Linked DNA regions of Cricetulus griseus. The protein of the gene in region 2 interacts with the protein of the main gene of each other region in a pairwise test. Links are inferred from orthologs where the notes say so. Each region holds a gene or a part of one and is shown on either strand. Other genes may lie near its edges.

Region 1 (4,133 bases), on a different chromosome or scaffold from region 2:
AGTACAGAATTTCCATGCAAGCAGAATAATTTGCCTAACTTAGGATGTCTACCAACTAAAATCCATTCCATTCTGTAGATCGTTATTTTTTGGTGGTACTGGGGATCAAATCTCAGACCTTGTGGCTAGGCCAACGGTCTATCCCTGAGCTATATACCCAGACCCACAGCTTAGCTTTGCATATTCTTTTCTCTTGAGACAGGGTCTCAGGTAACCAGTGCTGGCTTCAAATACACTATATGGCTGTGGATGACCTTGATTGGTTCTCCTGCCTCCACCTCCCACATGCTGGTGTTGCCTGGTGCACCACCAAAACCAGCCTCAAATGGAAGTCAGATCACGAGCTTCAGAAGCAGGTGGGCTTCAGAAGCAGGCACCTCAGGTTAAACCTGAGCACTAAGGCTGACTAGCTTTAATCTTAGGCAGGCTGCTTAACTGCAGATGGAGATCTCACCACCTCCTCACTCTGGGATACTGTGGTGCAGGTTAGAGATGCATGAGAAAGTGCTTAGCGCCGCCTCATACCCAGGAGTTGCACAACCAGTGTTGGCTATTACCTCACTAACCTCCAGCTGTGTGCAGTTATAGTGGGAAAGTGTGAGTAGCAGACACTTCGGTGAAAATGTCAAAGTTACACAACAACTTTAAGATGGAAGAACGACAGTCTGAGCAATGCTGGGTTTTTCTGAGAGTCTGTATGGAAAGTAGCACCTCCTTGATGGAATGTACAATTTTAGAACGGAAACCGTATGCTACAATAGAAAGAACACCAGAGAGTCAAAATTTGTACTTCTGACTCTGGCTAGGACCTCATCTAGCCTAAGGCTTTCTGCAAGCCCATTACCCACTGGGGAGCTCAATTTCGTCATTGGGCTGGACTTGATTAATCTTGAGTCATCTCCCAGGTCCTTAGCAATGCCATAGTTCTTCACTGAAGGTGATGAGAAAGGAGTCCCGCTGCCCTATCACTTGCAGTCTGTTGTTTTGTTGTTGTTGCTTGTTAAACTTTTTATGTGGGGCTATAAAATTCATGGAGAAGTCAACTAAGGACCAGGGCACTCTTGCAGAGTGACCACAAACAAAGTTTTAACAAAAATAATAGAACAAAATGGGTTCACACAGGAAGCTTTTTTGATAGGGCAAAAGCAAGCCTCAATTTGAAGCCATGGTTGTTTTGGTATGTACCACAGGGCATATGCCCCATATAACGTAAGTTATATTAAAAATAATAGGCTCGTGGTGAAATATAACCCCACTTTTTTCTCTTATCAGGTTGATCTTTGAATAAAGGCGAATTTTATCCAGGAAAGAGCTTTCATTCGAAGGGGAAAATAAAGGAAGAATCATAAGCAACAGATAAACAAGGCAGTTATGTCCTGAAAAAGCTATAGAAACAACTGTGGAGTGAAAGCAGGGCAGGCACCCAGGAGAAATTGGACTTGGTGTGATATTTTTGTCACAAAAGGCTTCAAGAGGAAGAGAGAAGACACTTCCCAGAGAATGAAAGAGTGTAGTGTAAAAATGGAGACCAAAGTTTCTGAGATTCAGATAGAAACTAAGGATGAGAAGGGGCCAGTAGCTGTTAGTCCTCAGGAAGAGAGGCAGCAGAGAAAAACAGCCACTCTTTGCTTCAAGAGAAGGAAGAAAGCAAACAAGATGAAACCTAAATCTGGTTCCAAAACTGCTGAGGCCACAAAAAAGCATCCCCCAGAAGCTGGGGCTTCTGATCAGCCACAGCCAGCAGGGGCCTGGGCCTCCATCAAACGCCTTGTCACACACAGGAAAAGGTCAGGGTCTTCGGAGAAGCAGAAGCCATCTGAGGCTGAAGTACAGCCCGAGGACTCGGCTCTTCCTAAGAAAAAGGCAAAATCCAGACTCAAGATTCCTTGCATAAGATTCTCAAGAGGGGCAAAGAGAGGTCATCATTCTAAACTCACAGACGATTCAGACTACAACCTCAGAGTCCAAGGAGGGGCTGAGGATTTGGAGACAAAAACCCAGACTCAGTCAACTGACCAAGCTAAGTCCATACAGGGCCCACAGGAAGGTGGGTTGGTGGACAGTAAGGAGGCCCAAGAATCGCATGTCAGCAACAGCATCACATCTAGAGAGAATGTGATTTCTGTAGAACTGGAATTAGAAAAGGAGGCTTCTGCTATTCAGATGGGAACTCCAGTGCTGGAGAAGGAAACTAAAGGGATTAAGGAAAAGCCAAGCGTACAAGCGCAGCAAGCAAGTCCACTCGGGAGTTCAGAAACAGACAGCCCCCGTCCAGTGGCTTCTGATGTTCCTGCCTCACCAGCAACCACCTATCAACGCAGTGTGGAAGAACCCAGGGATGGCATTCAAGAAAGTGCACCAAGTAGAAAAGATGACAGAAGTGGAAAGAGTACAGCTGAAGAAAAGAAATCCGGAGAAATTGTGCTGGGCCAGGCCAAAGAAACTACATTGAGCCAGACAGAAAAAGCTGCTGTCAGCCAGGCAGACAAGAGTGCAATGGCCCAGGCAGAGGAAGGTACCATGGCTGCCATGGCCCAGACAGAAGAAGGTAAACTGAGCCAGGCAGAGGAAGCTTCAGTGGCTCAGGCAGAGGAAGTTGCCTTGGCCCGAGCAGAGGAAGCCATCGTGGCCCAGACAGAGGAAGGTAAACTGAGTCGAGCAGAGGAAGCCACCATGGCCCAGACAGAGAAAGGTAAACTGAGCCAGGCAGAGGAAGCTGCCGTGGCCATCGTGGCCCAGGTAGAGGAAGCTTCAGTGGCTCAGGCAGAGGAAGTTGCCTTGGCCCAAGCAGAGGAAGCCACCATGGCCCAGGCAGAGGAAGGTAAACTGAGCCAAGCAGAGGAAGCTGCTGTGGCCACTGTGGCCCAGACAGAGGAAGGTAAACTGAGCCAGGCAGAGGAAGCTTCAGTGGCTCAGGCAGAGGAAGTTGCCTTGGCCCAAGCAGAGGAAGCCACTGTGGCCCAGGCAGAGGAAACTGCAGTGGCCCAGGCAGTGGAAGGTAAACTGAGCCAGACAGAGGAAGCTTCAGTGGCTCAGGCAGAGGAAGTTGCCTTGGCCCAAGCAGAGGAAGCCACCGTGGCCCAGGCAGAGGAAACTGCAGTGGCCCAGGCAAAGGAAGACGCCGTGGCCCAGGCAAAGGAAGACGCCGTGGCCCAGGTAGTGGAAGGTAAACTGAGCCAGACAGAGGAAGCTGCACTGAGCCAGGCACCAGATCTGAAAGAAAATGGAATCGATACAGAGAAACCCAGATCAGAAGAAAGCAAAAGAATGGAGCCAATTGCTATTATCATCACTGACACTGAAATCAGTGAATTTGATGTTAAGAAATCTAAAAATGTCCCCAAGCAATTCCTAATTTCAATGGAAAATGAGCAAGTAGGGGTTTTTGCTAATGATAGTGATTTCGAAGGGAGAACTTCAGAACAATATGAGACACTCTTAATAGAAACAGCCTCTTCTCTCGTCAACAATGCTATCCAGTTGTCTGTAGAACAGCTGGTTAATGAAATGGTGTCTGAGGATAATAAAATAAATACTCTGTTACAGTGACTTCATTTCCAGATCATGGGAAAGGAAGAAAACAACTCAAAGATGAGTTCTTTTATACATTTGTGGCACTTCTTTCTCAGTAATAAATTAAAGGCTTGTCATCTGTGGAATTTAGAGGGGAAGTTCCAGCCCAGAAGTGCTCAAGAAAAAATGAAGTTTATAAAACTCATTGAAACACAGTCACTTCTGGACTGGAGGGAGTCAGCATAGATCACAAGGTGCAGTGACATGCAGGAAGGTGCAGAATGACCTACGATGAGTTCAGTGTGTTGAGAAAGACTACTTATTGAACACTTGGTGTGCTGTGTGCTCCTTGCTGTTCCCTAATGTCGTGAAGTCTGGGTCTTTCCTGATGGTTCGACCCTGTATATAGGCGAACACTGCCTTTGCTTTTCTTTTACAGTATGTTTTCCTGTTATTTCTAATGGTGAGTCAGGTGGGCTGGTGTTTTGTCCCTCACGGGTTCCTTACAAAGCCATTCACAGGTTTCTTCAGCCGGGCGAGTAGTTAACAAGTGTGTAAGCGTGGAAACAGGGGAGTGCTTTTTCTTCTCTCCCCGTCTTCCTTCTGCCCAGAAGACCTGT
Region 2 (4,276 bases):
GCTTTATGACAATGTCAATCTAAATTCACATTTTAAAAAATCCACATTTTGAGATTTAATATGGGGAGTGTGACATTACATGAACACACTACTTTTACTTCACTACCAACACACAGTACCATCTAAGTTGTAAACTATTGCCTTAACTGTTTAGAAAACATGTTATCTTTTGATTGGAGTCACACCTAAATTTCACACATTACAGAGATCTGTTGTTCTCTGGTATTTTACACAAAAGGTCTTAATTTTTAAGCCAACGGAAGTACAACACAGTTCTTTGGAATGGATTTGCATCCAGTGTTTACATAAGGACCCATGCCTGCAGAAAAGATAGTTGTGCCTCTGTAGCTCTATTACCTTTTTTTTTTTTTTTTTGCAGAGCTATTCCTTCTTTATTTTGATGGCTCTATGAATCCTACATTGAAGTAGGATTGATCCCAATGTATCCAAAAGGAGAGATAATGTTTTATTCTCTCATAAAAGAGAACATAACACACACACACACACAGAGAGAGAGAGAGAGAGAGAGAGAGAGAGAGAGAGAGAGAGAGAGAGAGAGAGAGAGAGATTGGGGGGGGCTTGAAAAAACCGAGCAAATGTGAAAGGAGCAAGGATTTTTTTTCCCAAGACTCCAGAGACTATGTATCATGGTCTTTGGGTGCCGGGTTACTTTCACCTAAGTGTTTCTGGAGCAAATGACTTGATTGCTTTGCACTCCAACTGAATGCTCTGGCTGCATAAGACACCAACCATCTCTGTTCATATCTCACACACACACACACACACACACACACACACACACACACACACACACACACACACACACACACTCCACCCCCATCTTTGCTTCCAGTTTCAGAGGCACAGTCTGCACAGGCTGGTGCCCATCTCGGCTTTGCTCAGTACCCTGATCCCAAGAATAAGTGACACTATTTAATCCTTGCGGATCTGCGGTTCCTCCCCTATTCCACGTTGGAATACAGTGAGGATGGTGGGATCCCTTCTCAGCAGGAGTATAGAAAGGGCAACCACGTTGTCCCCTCCCTCACCCTAAGCAGGGTTTCTCCTAGCCAGCAACGCATAGCCATCGCTGCCAGTTGTACACATACATGTCATCCCTGGCAATCAGAGAATCAAGTAGCCCGTTACCAAGGGGGTGTCAGGAGCTTGGGGAAAGGGAGCAGGGTGAGCTTCCCACCCTAGAGTCTCGCACCAGCAGGGAACCCTTTAAGAGCAATGACAGGTCGGCGGCAGCCAGCCATGGGTGACAAGGGAGGTCGACAGAGGACCGCCACCGCTCTCTTTGCTCCAGGCCTGCAGGGAAATCCCGGGGCGGCCAGGGGGTGGGGGTGGGGCGCTCGGGTCGCCCGCCGCCTGGCGCTGCCCCACGCCGCCCCCGCCCCCGCGGCCCCCCGCCCCGCGGCGCGAGGCAGCCGGAGCTGGGCTCCCCCCACGCTCTCCCGCTCTCTCGCGAGTCCTGTGCAGGCCCTTCCCGCGGAGGGGGAGGGGGCGCCCGGGGAACTGCTGCAATGGAGCGCCTGGAGCACCGTGCCCGGGCGAGCCAGTCCGCGGCAAGCCACGGCCACATAAAAATGCCCTATTAATTTTTTAAAAGCCATAAATCACCTCCCCTCCCTCTACAAAGAGCAAGCCATAAACCCGATCCCATGCAAGCCCGCGAGCAGCCACCCACTTCCTATTTCTGTCACAGCAGCTACACCCTGCCAGCAGTCACCCCCCCCCCGGGCGCCCCCTCCCGCCACCGCCCACCCCGCCACCGCCACCCGCCACCGCCTCCCAGGCGCTCAGCCATTTGCCAACTGCTGCCCCCCGTACACACACACACACACACACACACACACACACACACACAAAATGCCCCTGTTGGGGCCGGGTGGGCGGTGTGGGGGCAGGGCGCGGCGGAGGAGGGGGATCGCCGCTTGCAGGAGATCCTAGAAGGTCCCCGGCGCGAGCCGGAGAGGGACAACCGGGGCGGGGGAGGGGCGGCCGGGCGCCTGCGGCACTCGGTGCACCCCGGGCCGCCACGGCGCTGCGCTTACCTTTCACCACCCTGTCGGTCGTCGACAACTTGGGATCAATCGCCTTGGACTCGGACATCTCCAGCCGCCGGGAGGGGGGGACAGCGACGCGCTGCTCGTCCCGTCCGACTGCACACCCCGACCGCACCGGCGGGCCAGACACTCAGCGCCGCCGCCGCCGCCGCCGCCGCCGCCGCGCTGCAAACCGCTCGGCTGGAGCTCCGGGCTCTGGGCTGGCTCGAAAGTTACTGCCGGCTCCGCGCGTCCCTCCTCCGTCGCCGCCGCCTTCACTCCTCCTCCGCCGCCGCCAGCCCCGCCGCCTCGCTCCGGGCTGCGCGTGTGTGCTGGTTATTTATTTATTTTCTGAGCACGCCTCCCGGTTCTTCTTTTATTCTTGGGGACGGGGCGGGGGATGGGGAGGAGAAGCGCACGCGAGCACCCACCCGGGCACCGACACCGAGCGCCGCGCAATGGAGCCCCCACGCGCGCACACGGTCGGGATTAAGACCGATCACATGGGGAGGGCCGGGGGCGAGGGAGGAGAGGCAGGGCCGTGGATGTCAGCGCCGCCAGCCGCGCCTGGCGTCCCGGTGGCGAAGAGGCGGCTGCCGCTGCGGCCGCCGCTGCTTCCCCACGCCGATCGTCGCCGGCCGCCGCCGGGGCCGCGGCCGCCGTGGACGTCCCGCCGCCGCGCTCGCCCGCGATCCCGCTCTGCCTCGCGGCGCCGCTGCTTCTCCACGCACAGGCAACAGCCGCCGAGCTCGGTGGACACAGTCCGGGGCACAACCTCGCCTCCGCCGCCGTGCCGGCCGCCGCCACCACCACCACCGCGCCCGCCTCCGCCTCCTCCCCTTCCTCCCCACCGCCCCCGCCTCCAGCGCCCGGGCCGCCTCCTCCTCGGGGCCCGCCCCCGGGCCCGCCCCCACGCCCTGCTCTCACAAGCTCATAGGCTGCGGCGCGCGCTCCTCACCGCTAAGGCGGTGGTCTGTGCTGCCGTCCCGCCCCCTGCTCTGTTTTCTCCGGGGTGCCACTCGGTCCCGCGGGCCTGCAACCCCCACCGCCCAGTGGCCGCTCAGGTGTCACAGAGGTGGGCAGAGAGGAGGGAGGCTGGGCCGGGAGCACGGGCCGGCAGGAGCTGGGCTGCTGCGTGCCGCCACGCCTGCCCACCCCCCTGGGTCCCCGCGCACACTCCCGGGTGTGTGGTGACGGCTGCCCGTGTGCGAGTGGCCTGCAGGAGTGAGATCGGAGACCCGGGAGGGAGGAAGGAGGAGTGCCCAGCGCTCGGGGCCGCGGCGCAGCTGCTGTCGCTGCCGCAGCTGTCCAGGGAGGATCGCCAGGACGGCGACGAGTAAACAGCTTACCTTGGGGAGGCGGCTCTGCCTGGGTTTAGGTGGACGCGGGTTACTTACTGTTGGTGCGGTGGTTAGAATGCGAGCACAACTTCACGGGAAGAGGGGGTTTCTGGCCAAAGTGTGTTTCGGGCGCTGCGGGACGTGGTGGCTTGGTTATCCAGGAAGGATGGGGACGGACTGGAGCCTGTGCGAACCAGGCAATGCTCAGTGACCCAGGATGCCCTCGTGTCTCCTAGGAGATAAGAGGAGTCGGGAAAACTCAAGAGAGGTCGCCTTTTCCTTGTTCACACGTGTACGCAGTCACTGGTGGAGATAGGTGACATTAAAAGTCTTGCTCCTTTCACTTAGTCACTTGGTGCTCAAGGTAGGTGCAGGGCCTTGAGAATTTTCACAAGTCCGGTGTAAAAAGGAAAGTAGGAGAATGGGGTACTGGTGGCGCTGATCATTCCTTTCAAGGGGCTCTGGCTTAAGAAAGTGTCTCTCTGCAGCAGGTCGTCTGGACACAGCCTTCTTTCTCCCTGGCCTTTCCAAGGACCTGCAAGGAAATTATGAAGAAGGCTGAATAAATTTATAACCCTCGTCCTTCCTGGGCTTTTTTTTTTTTTTTTTCAAATTCCTTCAATGTCATGGTTTTCCTAGTTCCTGAATTGGACTGTGGGCCCAATAAAAGGCCGAATAAGCGTTTTTAGGAAGCTAGGAGATGGAGCCAGGAGAACTGTTTTGGCGACAGGGATTAGATTAAACTCCAATCCGGAAAAAAAAAAAATAAGTTTTAATAGCAGACTGGTGGCGCATGACGCTGGAGTGTGTGGCTTCATGGAATTCTAGCAGACACTATAAAGAGCAACCCTGTAGAGGCCTGCTAGATTAAGGACGAGATAGAGT
Region 3 (4,289 bases), on a different chromosome or scaffold from region 2:
GTTCCCACCCATGTTCTCCTGACCTTTTTGCAACTCCTTCCTCAGAACTCAAGCAATTGATCAATACAAGTGGGAGGTGGGGAAGAGACACAAGTGGGCAATGAGGTCTTCAGTGGACCAATGTCCATCAGAAGTGACTTCACCATCTGGCTCTCACAGGCTTGCAACAGAAAAAAGAAGTCACTATGGTGTGGGCCTGCTCATAGAAGACAGGACCAGCCTGTGTCTAGAGCCACACAAGCCTGGAGCTGCTGAGGGATGGAGTGACAGGCTCCAGGCTGAAGGTAGGATGCCTGGGTCTTATCTGATTCAGTGTGGACCTTCAACTGGCCTGAGCTGGGCCCCTTTACTTTCTTCTTTGGAACCTTGGCTACTTTAGCCATAGTCCTGATTCTAACATCAGCTGTCATGAGTGTATGAATGAATACTAAGCAGGCTGTTGGGCTGGGAGCCCCTCTGGGCATGCTCTCTGCCCAGTCACCTCCCACATGAATGACCCTGCCAAGAGAGCCTGAGTCACAGTGGCACGGTGCCCCAACTCCTTAACAAAGCCCTCCTTTAAGGACCAGGCTGGGCAGGAGCAGTCGGACCATTTGTGTGTGGACCTGAGAGGCTGGAGAAGGCTGGGCAGGGCAAACTGGTACCTTAGCTGTTTCTTAAGCTCCCACACAGACTGCTTCCTGCTTGAAGCATGCTGGGCACACCCACATCTGGGTTTCTTCCTTGCTTAGGAAAGTCACTTTATTTGTGTGACAGGATTAGAATTCTTTCAATTCCAGCCCAGGCAGGCACCATGCTGAGAACAGATGCTGGCCAAGGCCAGACTGCCAACCTGAAAGTCTCAGGGAACCTAGAGAGGCCAACAGCCACCAAGACCCCACCGAGGGCTAGCCCTGAATTCCCACCAGCCTGCTACCTGCTCTGGGCCACTTAGTGGCCCTCATGCCCCACTCTCTTCAAACCATTAGAAACATCTGCTAAACAAAGCCTACAGTGCAAGGGAATGTCCTCATGTTTTCTATAGCAGTTAAGATTGAACATGGAGGGTGAGATGCAGTGAGGGGAAGATGGCTCAGTGGTTAAGAGCATTTATTGCTCTTGCAGACGACCTGGATTCTATTCCCAGCATCCCATGGTAGCTCACAACCAGCTCCACAGGATCCAATGCCCTCCAAGGGCACCAGGCATGTGTATGGGTAGTCATACATGCAAGCAAAACATTCTTACACACAGAAATAAATTGAAAAAGATTTTTTGTTTTCTGAAAGACTGAACACAGGGGCATAGCAGAAATGAGTACTGTGTTCTTGGTGGCTACTATCAGGAAACAAAGGCTGTGTTGGGCCTTGGGAGAATGATGGGTTTCTGTTGAGTGGGCTATCCTCAATCATTCTCTATGGTGGGTCATTTCCCATGATTCTGCAGCCCCCCCCCCAAGATGAGAGCCATTCTCTGTTGCCTCTGGGCTAACACTTGGCCTTATCTACCTTTCTGCCTCAGTTTCCTGCCTTTAAAATGGGGACAAGAGGAGGCGTGGGTTAGAGGGTTGGTGTGAGTGTGAAAACAGCTGGTGCAGGTCTGGCACAGGCCAACTGCTGGCTAAGCACTAACATCTCAGCGTCCTCCTGAGGACGAGTTGATTTTTAAGTCTCTTGAGTGACCTACACCTCCCTAGGGGACACACACTCCTGCCTGGTGTGTGCCCACCAGCTGAGGCCTTCCAGGGACAGATTAGACACAGATTTCCACAGCCTTGGGGCTGGTGGAGGGATTAAGACTTTCCATAAATACACGGCCTCTCTCCTGTGCAGAGGACCTGGACTCGGGGGAGGGGGAACAGGACAGGGCCGGAGGTGGGTATGGCCTACCCAGGACAGTCCACATTGTGGTCTGGGAAGGAAAGGGGTCTGTAAGAGGTGCTCTTAGCTGGTAGCACAACCCAAGACAGGGCCAGGAAGTGTCTCAGGCTGGAGAGAGACAGCAGAGTCTACCACTCAGGAGAAGGCACCTGGGACTCAGTTTCCCTATCTGTAAAACATTTCTATACTCTCTCGGGAATGACTTCTACATTGCTGCTACTGTTCTCTTGGCAAAGGCCAGAAGTCCCTCCTGCCCTCACAGTCCCCCAGGGGAGCTGAGGATCCTCTTTTAAATAAGCGCCCTCCCCAGATCTGCCCGGGCCAGCCCTGCCAGGAGAAGTGCCTGCTTTGCGCGGGTCACCCTTTGCGGTCACCAGGCTGCTTTGATGTACTGGGCGCCCCTAAGCGAGGCAGCTCATCAATAATACATTCGAAACACTTGGTGGAGGGAAGCGGTTCCTCCCGAGGCCTCCTGCCCCCACCTCGCCCGACTGCTCGGCTACTTGACAGCCAAACCCGGTGCATAGAAGGGTCTGAGGCTGCCACGCTCGGGACACGCCCCCGCCCAATGCCAGGCATGCAGCCAAAAGGAACCGAGCTGGGCAGCGAAGTCCGCGGGAAGTTGTGGGACGCCTTGGGACCAAAAGGTGCCCCCATCACTCTTAAGTCTCTACCACCTTGGGGTCTCCACAGCCCCTCCCCCGGCGTCTCCACCCCGCCCTGGGGTACCTACGCTCTAGGGTTCTCCAACCCCGGTCTCCACCGTCCTGGATTTCCACCCACCCCGGAATCCCCACCGTCCCTGGTCTCCATGGCTCTGGGGTCCCCTGTCTTGGGTTCCTCCCAGGTCCGGATGTGTCCGCCGGGGCGCGCACGGCGCACACGCACTCACCGCTTTCTGGAGCGCGCTGGGCGCGGACGCTGGTGGCCGTGCGGGACACCAGGCGACGCGCCTGCAGCCGCGGGCTGCGGGGGTCATGGCCCGGCCTGCTCTCCCCGCGGCGGCGCTAGCCTCAGCCCCCGCCCGGCACCTGGAGGGCGGCGCCGCCCAGGCCGCTCCGCCCCGCAGCCCGCCCTGGGCGCAGTCACAACCCGGGCCGCCGCGCCTCCCGGCCCGCCTCCCCCACCCCAGCCGTCCTCCCTGCACTCGGGAAAGTTTGGACACCGGCAGCTGTCCCTGGTGCTGTGGAGGGAAAGGGGCGCCCGGCTCCGCCTCTCCTGCAGAGACGTAGAAGTTACGCCCCCAGCTCGTCGCTGCGGTTGGAAGGTTCAGGTGGCATTGTGACCCACGGGCTTCCCTGCTGCTGGGTTCTGGCATTTTGACTGGCCACGTGCTTCCTTCTGCCACAGCTGGCAGAGGACCTGAGCGTGCAGACTAAGAGGACTTGGGCTGCCGCCTCTCCACTCCCTACCCCTAGCATCATGGTTTCTTTTGTAGTGTTTGAGATAGGGTCTGTTGTCGCCCACCCAAGCAGCCCTTGAACCCCTGATCCTCTGGCCTCTATCTTCCAAGTGCTGGGCTCAAAAACATGGGCCAGTGCCTAGCCTTCTTTGTGTTTATGTTTTCAGTGCCAGAGATATGACATGGCTTCCCCAATCCCCCTCCTCCACAGGCCCACACACCCACACTCTTCAAGCCCAGGTGTGGCTTTCAGGCCTGTGTCTTAATGGCTTGGGGAGGGGGGTGGCTCCTTGAAGTCCCACTCACCTGCCTAGCTCAGTTCTTTGTCACAAGCCTATAGTGTCACGCCCACTCTTCAAGCTCCAGCTCTCCACACCTGGAGCTATCTTCCAAATGATTACAAGGGGTCCAGGGCAGAAGAGTGGAATACACAGATATTCATGTTCCTACTTTGAGCCATCACTAAAAACTCTAGTGAAGTTACAGGCCCTGGCTTTGTTCAGGCCAAAGTGATACAAAATGGATCATATAGTCTTCAGCATTCCAACAGAAGTGGGCAGGTGGGCAGGATAGTTCCCTGCTCACCTTCCTCAGACAAGGTGGGAGCTGCCCCAGCTTGAACGCCCAGGGAGGTCTTGGTGTGACGTGGGCATTCCTGGGTAAGCACTATGCTCCTGCCTGCCATGCCTGTTTGCAGGCATGAACCAGGATGAACAGAAGTGCTTAGTAGCTGCAGCAGGGCATTTGCTCTTGTCACAGTTCTATAGCACAACATCTCACATCTCACATGTCCCCCGAGCCCTGTTCCTTCACCCAGGGCAGGAAGGGGATGCTTTCACATGTGTGCACATAAATGATGAACATTTGCCTCCTTCATGCCTGACTTTTTTGGGGATCCCTGGTATCTCCCAAGAGCCAAGGTCATGTCCCCTAACGGTATATCACCTCCCATGAGTCCCAACAGGCTACTTTCTGAGCTGCCAACTGCTCTATGTCCACGTTGGACATAGAGCAATGGGGCAGGGTTA

Evidence for each region.
Region 1: the proteins of serine/threonine-protein phosphatase 2B catalytic subunit alpha isoform (region 2) and Akap5 interact in binary tests that used the Homo sapiens proteins (3 or more experiments, as listed by UniProt). The link is inferred for Cricetulus griseus from reciprocal best matches to the Homo sapiens genes PPP3CA and AKAP5.
Region 3: the proteins of serine/threonine-protein phosphatase 2B catalytic subunit alpha isoform (region 2) and CUNH16orf74 interact in binary tests that used the Homo sapiens proteins (3 or more experiments, as listed by UniProt). The two-hybrid records come from large-scale screens. The link is inferred for Cricetulus griseus from reciprocal best matches to the Homo sapiens genes PPP3CA and C16orf74.

The regions. Positions count from the first base shown.
Region 1 is NC_048598.1:127,161,990-127,166,122, reverse strand, and holds the start of Akap5 (A-kinase anchor protein 5), read left to right. Parts: upstream 1-1,295; 5' UTR 1,296-1,500; coding exon 1,501-3,549; 3' UTR 3,550-4,133. UniProt on the Homo sapiens protein: Multivalent scaffold protein that anchors the cAMP-dependent protein kinase/PKA to cytoskeletal and/or organelle-associated proteins, targeting the signal carried by cAMP to specific intracellular effectors.
Region 2 is NW_023276806.1:22,889,622-22,893,897, forward strand, and holds the start of serine/threonine-protein phosphatase 2B catalytic subunit alpha isoform, read right to left. Parts: upstream 2,854-4,276; 5' UTR 2,119-2,853; coding exon 2,061-2,118; intron 1-2,060. UniProt on the Homo sapiens protein: Calcium-dependent, calmodulin-stimulated protein phosphatase which plays an essential role in the transduction of intracellular Ca(2+)-mediated signals. Many of the substrates contain a PxIxIT motif and/or a LxVP motif.
Region 3 is NC_048596.1:197,251,973-197,256,261, forward strand, and holds the start of CUNH16orf74 (uncharacterized protein C16orf74 homolog), read right to left. Parts: upstream 2,839-4,289; coding exon 2,752-2,838; intron 1-2,751.